2 linked regions of the Drosophila melanogaster genome follow. Changing the gene in region 2 together with the main gene of any one other region gives a genetic interaction. Each region holds a gene or a part of one and is shown on either strand. Other genes may lie near its edges.

The links.
Region 1: of RhoGAP100F (region 2) and Liprin-alpha, changing one suppresses a phenotype caused by changing the other (phenotypic suppression), as found in Drosophila melanogaster (one study listed by BioGRID).

Annotation. Positions count from the first base shown.
Region 1 is NT_033779.5:6,721,916-6,727,132, forward strand, and holds the start of Liprin-alpha (Liprin-alpha), read left to right. Parts: upstream 1-1,987; 5' UTR 1,988-2,169; exon of another isoform or gene 2,170-2,262; 5' UTR 2,263-2,478; intron 2,479-2,911; 5' UTR 2,912-2,932; coding exon 2,933-3,181; intron 3,182-3,242; coding exon 3,243-3,344; intron 3,345-3,860; coding exon 3,861-4,214; intron 4,215-4,286; coding exon 4,287-4,388; intron 4,389-4,457; coding exon 4,458-4,625; intron 4,626-4,683; coding exon 4,684-4,803; intron 4,804-5,217. Other genes in the region: homer, read right to left, coding at 1-171, 227-515, 882-895.
Region 2 is NT_033777.3:31,810,766-31,815,914, forward strand, and holds the start of RhoGAP100F (Rho GTPase activating protein at 100F), read left to right. Parts: upstream 1-1,843; 5' UTR 1,844-3,061; intron 3,062-5,149. Other genes in the region: FeCH (ferrochelatase), read right to left, coding at 1-175, 235-556, 612-713, 976-1,354, 1,409-1,445. UniProt on the Drosophila melanogaster protein: GTPase activator for the Rho-type GTPases by converting them to an inactive GDP-bound state. Promotes the anchoring of Liprin-alpha clusters at synapses. Recruits and keeps Nrx-1 levels high in active zones in the presynapse opposite the postsynaptic region.

The sequences.
Region 1 (5,217 bases), on a different chromosome or scaffold from region 2:
CTCCACAGTGTGCGGATCGATGGCTGTGTTGTCGTTCTGCATGGAGCCCACAGCTCTCCCGGAAATGGGCGACGTGTTCGCCGAGGTGGTGGGCGTGACGGCATTCGATCCGTTGGCCGATTTCATGGCATTCTTGGTGGCCTCCTTGACCTCCTGGAACTTCTCTACGAACTGTTGAGCGATATGATTAGTATATAAATATGTGAGACATATGCTAACCACTCACCTTGGTCAATTCCGCCTCTGAGGCAAATCCCAAGCCGTACACCGTGTTTGCCCGCACATCGCTCCACTGGCCGAACTTCTGGGAGGTCTGGGTGAAGGTCATGTTGGGTGTGATCGTCGAGTTTATCACCGCCTTGGTGCCCTCGACACTGATGATGCGGTACAGATTTCGCGAGCTGTCGTAGAAGAAGCTAACGTTGACCGCCTTCATGCTGGCCGTGATCCAGGTGCGCTTCGTCTTCGGATCGATGTGGAAGACGTGCGCCTGGCAGGTGAAAATCGGTTGTTCGCTAAGGGTCATAAAGGGATTAAAGCGACAAGCGTGTGATTAATTAAAAATTCCATTTAGAGCAGGCAATAAATTGTGCTTCTGTGCTCGTGTGAGTAAACTATGGCAAAGCATTCTTTTACTGTGGTTTATTAGTCAACAGGCACTGTGTAATGCATTTATAATTAGTAGTCCTTAAGTCCCAGGATAATCCTCGTGGTCCTTATTTGATAAAGTAGGTCGATATATGTTTGTTTTTTGCGATCTGGCCTGATGCAATGACAGTTTGTTGCGGGGCGCAGGGCCCCCATCAAATCAATTCCGTATCCGTGGTAGCCTCCAGTGCCTTTATTTGTACACATATACATATATATATCTTATCTATTACCTATCCGCCGACATCGTTCGCTGAGCTCTATAACTTGTGTCTTCCCGTTATCGCTGGCGACTGTCGACCGCCGACTAAATTGCATTATGTGCTAAGCCTTTTCCGCAGCCTTGCTTGTGATTTTTGATTCTCGGGCGGAAAACACGCACGCACACACCTGCACAGTCACACACACCTGCACACCCACACACATGTAATTGGCCTGCCCACGCGTGTGCGTGTGTAGGTGTATGTTTGTGTACATATATATGTATGTATTTACGCCGCCCGCTACACACAGAACGGCAGCAACAACAACAACATCATAGGGGGGAGATGTCAGCTAGTTCGGCGTCGATTTTTCCCACAGTAAAAACGGCAGGTTTAGGCCGGTTTGGCCGCGCCCATCGGTCTTACCCCATTGTATTCGTTCTTTGGCGCTGACTGAGTGCTTCCGCAGCAGTTTATACCAATGCTAGTCGGTTTTACTTATGAATTTCACGGTTAAAAAAAATAAAACACAAATGTCTAGAGCTGGAACCAAAATCGATGTTTGTATGGTGCTATCGATGTTTTTACTGGCTCAACACCATCGATGATTTATTTATTAGCTTCCAAGCATCGATAACACATGAGCTCGTATAAGAGCAATGATTCTTATCGAATAATTTAATCGCTGTAAAGCGAATTGCAAATTAATTAAGATAAATAAATACTAAATATGTTTGTCTGTAAGGCACCATAACAATGTAATTTTTTCAAAAACATGTGTAGCTGTTGAAGCATTGCATTTAAATGACGGAAGTTACAAAATAATTTCAGATAAAAGTGATAAGTTTTTTTGACTGTCTAGTTGTGCGCCTACATGTAGTTTGAATATTTGTTAGATATGGTTTTCTTTGTGCGGTGTGGCAGCATTAGTTTTAGTACACATTTTTCTAATACTTGACGATAGGTCAAATGGCAACTCCTGATCGGCAATAATATTTGCATATAATTTAGCTTTGAACATAAATAGACTGCCACAAAAACTTTAAAACAACACATTTTACTTCTATATTTTTTGGACGAAATAGAACCACTGAAAAAATTCATGAAATGTAGTACATTTTGTAGTGAAGAACCAGGGTTGGTTTACGGATTTTAGCCGTTTTGCCATCTGGTAACACTGACCAGTTTCTCATCGTTAAAAAATCCATTTGGAATTCGGTTTATTTAATTAAAAGCAGCCGGGACACCTATGCGAAGGGCAAAAAGCGGCCAGAGTTGTTGTTGCTGCTGCTGCCCAGCCGCCGTGCGATCGATCGGGGTACGTGTTCCGGCGTAACGAGGAGTACGAGGCGATTTTCTCGCAGCCTCTTTTTTTTCACACGAACGCCGTCCCACTAAACCGAAATTTCAGGTGAAAAACTCATTGGAACGCATTTAAAAGCGGCGTAAGCTCGCACCTGCTGCTCGTTTAACCCTGTTTCGGGTATATGTGATTGCAAAATGCGACAGCGACACACCTAGGCACACAAAATATGCCAGTTATGCGAAAGAGAAAAAGTACTGTGCCTGTGTGCGTGCGCGTGTGAGTGTGTATGCCGTGCGTGTGCCCCCGCCTGCGACAGTGTGCGTATGTGTTGGTGTAGAAAACTTGTTATCAATGCGGCGCCTATGATAAGTCTCATTAGACATGTTTCTCCCACTATGCTGGGTATTTCAATTGGAATGGCTAGCGAACGTGTGTGTGTGTAGTAAAATATCCGGACTCCATAGAATGGACATTTTGTATGAATTAATTGAATTTACTTTATAAATTCAATTAACATAAAGAATTTGATTTTATGCAGAAGAAGCTACAGCATTAAGTATCTCCCATATGCGGAATCACAGACAAAAATTCAATCACGCCAATTCATTTATGATCAAGGATCAAATTCAAGAAACTTTAGAAAAACGCGTCTAGTTTTTGTGCTTCGGTAACAGCGATAGTGGTACAATCTCCGCACAAAATGTACCTACAGCCAAAATCCTGTAACCTTTATTCCCCTCTCTGTCTCGCACAGTCTGGCGGCCCCAACTAAATAATGTGGAACATGATGTGCGACGTAATGCCCACGATATCCGAGGATAGCATCTCGCAGCGCTCCTCGCAGTTTAGCGGGGAGGATGCCAACTTTGAGCAGCTGATGGTCTCCATGCTGGACGAGCGGGACAAGCTGATGGACAGCCTGAGGGAGGCGCAGGAGCGGCTTAACGAGACGGAGAACAAGCTGCGTGACGTCGAGAAGGAGCGGGACAGCCTGCAGCGACAGATTAACGCTAATCTGCCGCAAGTAAGTGGCCTCTGCATGCTGATACCGCAGTTTACCTAAAATCTTTTCCTGATCTTTCTAGGAGTTTGCCACCCTGACCAAGGAGCTGACGCAAGCGCGGGAGACCCTTTTGGAACGTGACGAGGAGATTGGGGAGCTCAAGGCGGAGAGGAATAATACCAGGGTAAGTGATTTTCGAAAATTTAGATCCTTGGTATTTCAATTACTGAGACAATTGAGTAATGGTTAGATCAGGTAGATCATGACAAGATTTGCTAGACTAATTTATTAATTTAGGTATTATAGCCATTGCTAAATTACATATCCCATTGTTATTCAAACAAGAAACAGTTGTAGGTACTTGCTTTTGCGAATTAGTCACATATACCGGGAACAATACAAAAGTTTACTCTGTCCGTCTTCATTTTTATTTCGAACATGGCTTGTCTATTTGTTTACTTATCAGTGACTATACAAACATTGTTACAGCCTTTTAAGAATTAGTTCTTTGTATTCACATCCGTCTTAAACCATAAAAAGTGAAGTAAACTGTATTTATAAGTCCTTTCCGCTTCATTGAATATCAAGAAAATCAGTTTTAATTAAATTTCTACGGTAATTTTACTTTTAAAGAGACAATTTAAACGTCGGTTACTGCGTGAAATAATATATTTTTAATGATCTAACTTGACTATTTCAGCTTCTCCTCGAACATCTGGAGTGCTTGGTGTCCCGCCACGAGCGTTCCCTGCGTATGACCGTTGTGAAGCGACAGGCTGCCGCCCAGAGCGGCGTCTCCAGCGAGGTGGAAGTGCTCAAGGCGCTAAAGTCGCTGTTCGAGCACCACAAGGCGCTGGACGAGAAGGTGCGCGAGCGGTTGCGGCTTTCCATCGAGAAGAACAACATGATGGAAGAGGAACTCAGCTCTGCCAAGGAGGAACTGGCCCAGTACAAGGCGGGCGTGGTGCCAGCTGGCGTGGGCAGTGGCAGCGGAGCAGGGAGTGCCGCAACCACCGCCGGTGGTGGGGGCGCCGAGAACGGGCTCAAAGAGAAGGTGCGTTCCACATTCGAAATGCAGTCAAGCATGTCCGGTTTAATATATCTCTTCTATTTTCCAATACCCTAGATGGCGGGCGTGGGCGGATCTGGTGGCGTTAATGGCGAGGCAAATGAGCTGAACGACTACGCAGCCAAAACCCACGAGCTGCAAACCATTATTGAGAAGCAGGTGAAGATTGCGGATCTGTTTCCAGTCTGCATATGGTGAACACTTTTTAAAACGCTCTTTCCTTGTCAGACCTCGGAACTTTCACAATGGCAGCGACGCGTTTCTGATTTGAACAACAAGATTAGTGAGCTTGAGGAGAACATGTCGCGAGTGCAAAAGGAACACTGCAAGGCCCAAGACCAGTGTGCCAAGCTGCAGCGGGATCTGCGCGAGAATGTTGCCCAGAAAGAGGATCAGGTGAGTGAATAATACTCACAGCATGGTTTCAGTTTTTTACTTATACGTTCATTTTTAGGAGGAGCGCATTACCACATTGGAAAAGCGATACCTGAATGCTCAGAGGGAGTCTACATCGTTGCATGATCTCAACGAGAAACTCGAGCAGGAACTACGGCATAAAGAGGCGCAGCTCAAGGTGGGTAAAACCAAGGAAATTACAGCTTATGGTTAAGGCAGGCATACATATCTTTACTTTTATTCATGAGGATCGATTTTTTTTTATTATATTTCGATAAGCGCACAGTCCATTTGTTCAAAAAAATCCATTGATTACTCATTACCTTACTGTAAAGTTATTTCCAATTGAATAGCAGATAAATTTTTCATGATCTTACAAGTCAAGCAATTATCGCTAGTATGCTAGAGTAATGAAATAAAATTAGCAGCGAAATCTAGTTCGTATAGCATCTGTGATATTTTGTAAAAAATCGATCCACTCTGTTTCTAATTGTGCCCTAGCCTGCTCTTTCATTAAGCTCCCCTTAAGCGTGACTAATCAATTGCATTTACATACGCAACTATTCCCCCCGACAACTAATCGAACAAACAC
Region 2 (5,149 bases):
CGATGAACAGCGGGTGGTCGTTGGGGGTTGCAGCTCGACGGATTTCCTCTACGCCTACCTCCTTGGCCAGTTCGTCGCAGTACTCGATGTCGAGCTCATGCAGCGTCTCGATGTGCTCGTTCACGAAGGCAATGGGCACAAGGATGAAGTTCTTCAGGCCTTGCTTAACATAGCCCTGTAAAGATGGGATTGGTTTTAGTGGATGGGAATGGAAATCCGGCATTAAAGTTACACCTTAATGGCATCATCAGTTGCGGGCGCCAGCCAGGGTAGCGGGCCCACCTTGGATTGCCATGCCAGGCTGTAGGGATTCGTCTGACCAAGTTCCTGCATCACCATGTGTACGCTAGCACCAATCTCCGAGGGATACGCGTCACCCCGGTTCACAGCCTTAAGGGGAAGGGAGTGGGCAGTGAAGAGGATGACCACATCATTTCGTTTCGTTTCCACAAATTTGGCCAGCTCGTCGCGAATTCGCTGGGCAAACGTTTTGATTAGAAGTGGATGAGTGCCCCACCTGTCGATAATGCTCCATTTGATATCCGAGGGCAGATTACTAAAGAGGTAGAGGGGATCAAATAAATAGCTGCAATTGTGCATTTCTAACTCACTTGCTCCGATAATGAGTAAATATGGAGTTAAAGCTGGATCCGGAGGTGGCGCAGCTGTACTGTGGATATTGTGAAAAGAGTACAACGCGCTCTGGTTTGTCCCTGTAAATATGTTAAAATATTAACATGTATTCTTTAAGTAGCGCAAATGACCATAATTTCCAGGTTTAGGTTTCAGTAATTTGTCCAAGAAGTCAACTGATAATAGCAGGACATTGAAACATGCATAAGAAGTCAGAAGTCTATACAAACTTATTTACTAGAACATATCTTATTGTGAGAGTCCGTAGCAATATATATAGGTCAATTTCACGACCTTCGGATTATTTACATCACTCTTGTTCTACTTCTCGACTACACTCACTTTTCGATCTCGGCCAGCGTGTTCTCAGTGAGGGGATTCACGTAGCGGAAACCGACGTAGTGCTTGTGAGGTGCTGTCTCCGGGGAGATTCTGTCCAACTGCTCGCACATGAGCTGGCCCTGCAGCTCGGTCCACTTAAGAATCGGTGAACCACCGCCGATCTCCTTGTACTTCTTCTGTACCTCGGGCGTCCTGCGCTGGGCGATCCACGGACCAAGACGGCTCTGCACCGGCAGCTGGATCATGTCCCGGTCGGTCATAATACGCAGGAGGTAGTCATGCACCTGGTCCGTGTGGGTCGGACCGCCCATGTTCAGCATTAGGATCGCGGTCTTCGGTTTTTGGCCGCTCAGGTTGCGCACTCCTCCTGCCAGACCACCTGTTGGGGAATATGTAGGAATGTCGTGGGAACTGTATCCACTCGTATACTCACTTGCCAGTCTGCAAAACTTTGTGTTATGCAAAAACATAGTTCCTTTTAAATTGACCCAAATTGATGGCACCGGTGTCGAATAGTGTTACCAGTTGCTAAAATAGTTTAAATACCAAAATGTATGATCTCACAGATTCTAGAGTTTTTCCAAACGTAACAGAGTTCTGTAAAAAGTAACCGTCACGCCATCTATGTGTGTAAAATAGCTGCCAACTATTACTCAACAGTAATCTAAATATTTAAAAATTTTTCCTTTTGTTACACATTTACCATTTAATTTCTCTTTATTGAAACCGAAACCAATATTTGGTATATACTGTTCTTCAAGCGACCAACAGAAATTTTTCGCGCATGCGTCCTTATTTCTTTCCCTTGTCATCAACGCTGCGTGCAACGGTAAAAGCTGACTGTGGTGCAGTCTCGCTCTTGCACGCTGCATTTCGCTCTCGTCGCTTGCTGCGAGTGTTTCGTTTCCTCCGATCAAATAATATTTTGTAGTTTTTCCACCGAATGCAGGCACAATTGCTTCGTAAAAACGCAATAAAAGGCGCGGCCCATGGTCCGAAAAGATAAGAAAGCTTGAAAAACAACCGAAAGTGTCGTTTAACATCGGAGAAAAGCAAAAGGACAAGCGGCGCAGCACAGTGAAAAAAACGTAGGAAGTTTTGGAGTGAGTGAGAGGGAAGGAGTTCCACCGCGGTGGTGGGTGTACGTGCGCGAGTATTGGTGATGTGTCCATGTCCGTGTTATCGCCACCAGCATTAAAGTGCTCCAATTCGTGGCGCACGCGCAGAATAACTAGCGCTCTCTTGCTCTCTTTCTCGACTTAGAAGAGGAACAGGATATTTTATTATACTGAAATTCCTACTCAGGAAATTCGCATAGTTGCGAAAGCTTCGCGCTGCCACACGGACGCATTCCGCTACGGGTTCCCCGCACCACCCACACACTCTCACACCCGCCTGCCGCGAGCCCACACACCGCGCCCGCAAGCACTCTCGCGCACAGATCAATGAAAAGGCCAAAAAATAAATTGCACCTTTTCCGGGAACCAAAAACATGTTGAAATTATCTCACAAGTTACGCAAAAAATGCCGCAGCAAAAAAGTTGCATGGGATGCCGTGAATGCGACGAAAGTGTGAAACGAAACGAAAGGCAACGAAAGACGGTGCAGAAAGGAGCAAAGAGAGGCTGCAAGGATGTACTGCTTCTCAAAATCCCAAGCCATTGACCACCGAATCAGCGATAAGTCTCTAACAACAAAAACCTGCACCTAGCCAATTGCATTTTGCATTCGCATTCTTACTGCCCCGGAAGTAAAAGCAGCTTCAGCGGAAATTAAAACCAATCAAAGCCGAAATAAAAGGTAACGCTAGCGAGCGAAAGAGATAGACATTTTTAGAGAAAAAGAGAGAGCAAGAGAGAGCTACCATAGAGAGCAAGTGCATCCTTTTCACAACGCGGCACACATTTACGACCGGTGACTGCAACTAGCCCACTCCCATACCTCCGCCCCTCTTCAACCCGACCCCAGTTGTCCCTTGCAATTTGTGATCTCACGTTTTCATAACTTGGGCAGTAGCCGTTGGCACGGATTAGACGCAAAACGTCAAGCATTAGGACGTCAGGAGAAACGCAGTTCCACAGTGCAGGTGAGTTTTCAACAAAGGGACCTATCCAGGAAACTCACTGGCGGCTATGCATTTAGTTAATTAAAAAACTATTTGAAGGGTGAAAAGTCCATCATAGGAAATGACCTTGTCGCTATCAAATTCGGCTGTGCTTGATAAGGCTCCCACAACTCGAATAAGCGATCATTTGTGGCAAGTGTGATTATGCGCAATTTTCTGTTAAAACAAATCCTGTTTCCAGAACTTCTAATGCTTTGTTGGTTAGCGTTATTTTGCCTTTTACTAAAAACCTTTTGAAAGAAAAGGAAACGTCTTCTGATAGGCTATCATCATTCATTGTAGTCATTGGAGGTGGAGGTTCCAATTTAATCGTAAGAAAACATGGCATATCGTCAAATCAATTCGAGCAAATGTAATATAAGCGGTGTCTATTCCAGCAGCAAATTATTTCAAGATCTCCTCTATTACACACAAGAGATGAAGATCTAGGATATATACGACTAGGTGAGAGGAACAGAAAGCAAAACATTTACCGCGACATTAACAATCAAAAATCTTGTTTGGACGCTTTTTATGCTCAAAGCCCCCATAACTTTTTACACCCCGAATCGCCCCTTCAGTCCGCCAAACTACCCCCAAGCTAAAAGCTTTGCTCCAATTTACCAGCAAACAGAGAACTTTGTGTGGAGCCCCATACCATACAAATAATTTAAAAAAGCTGAGCCGCACAACTATCTTAATTTTATGTTAGAACTAAAGCCCCTTGTATAAAAAAAATGATAGCAAGCCTCTTACGGTAGCCAAAAATGGATTTCCATAGAGACCATTAAAATCGCTTGGTACTTTTTGTTGTATTAATTTACGTTGTTATTTATTAACTTATTTTAAGGCAGTATTGTTCACATATAGAAAATCTTTAAACAGAAAGTTATTTTTAAAATTGCATATTATTTTGTTTGGTCCTTATGTGTGTGGTATAAGCCGAGCTGTAATACAACATGTGGATGGCGACTTCCATTCTGTGCAGCCATAATTCCATCTTTTTGATTCTGCCCTCACTAATTAGATAAATTCACAGTTTCCCCGCAACTTTGCTAGTTTTTATGGTTTCGAGCATATTTTTGGCATTTTAATGCGACTTCTATCCGTCGTCCAAATGGCGAGTTGGGAGCTCCAAATTCGGAGTTGCGAGTTTCTAGTTGCGGGTTGCTGGTGGCATGTTGCACAGTCGTCAGGTGAGTCAGCTGAGCACCGGCAGAAAGGACCACATGGCGCGAAGCGACTGCACTGAAAATTGGGGTTTTACCATGCAGATAATGGGATCCGATCTGAAAAGTAAATGATCGTAATATCGGTTGTCAAGAGCTGCGAGTCAGTTGTGGGGCCTTTTCGCGTTACAATTATAAGCTGAGCCGATAAATATAACTTCTAAAAGAAAGAGTATCCTTTTTTTGCCTCAGTGGGTGTGCAGTCGCATGAGCGTGCGGCAAAGCCCAGTGGGTGTGGGTGGGATGGTGGGTTTGCGGGTTAGGGTCCGACGGTCCCCAGTGGTGGGTCTGTGTTTCTTCTTTCGATGTATATTCCTTTGTCGGGTGCTACTAACCAGTCAAAGTGTGGAAAAGGGACTCATGGGGATGTGGCGTTGTGGATAAACTTCAACGCAGCAATAACCATACCAAACCAAATAATGCCATGATGGGGTTACAACTGAGCCCAAAGAGGGAAATCGATAAATCTGCCTGTCGTCATTGTAGCACTGCCTCAAGTAAAAATAATTTTAAAGTTTAAAATTCATATCGATATCTTATTAAATTCGGTTTTCACTATTTATGACAATTTCGTAATATTTGGATTCTGATGTACTTGCTTGCTGCGGAAAGTCTCCGTTTTTTGCTATTTGATAAATTATTTGCTATTTTTGCCGCTGGAATGGAGTGCGGGCAAGCTTTGTCACTCATTTATGGACACACATAGCGAGCTCAATTTGTGATGTCATTATAATACATTTTATGCGTGCCTAGACAACATTCCCGGCGACTGGCGACTGGTAAAGTTGTTCTCGATGTGGTAATGGGTGTAGCTGCTGCTGTTGGTGAACACCCAGGCAAC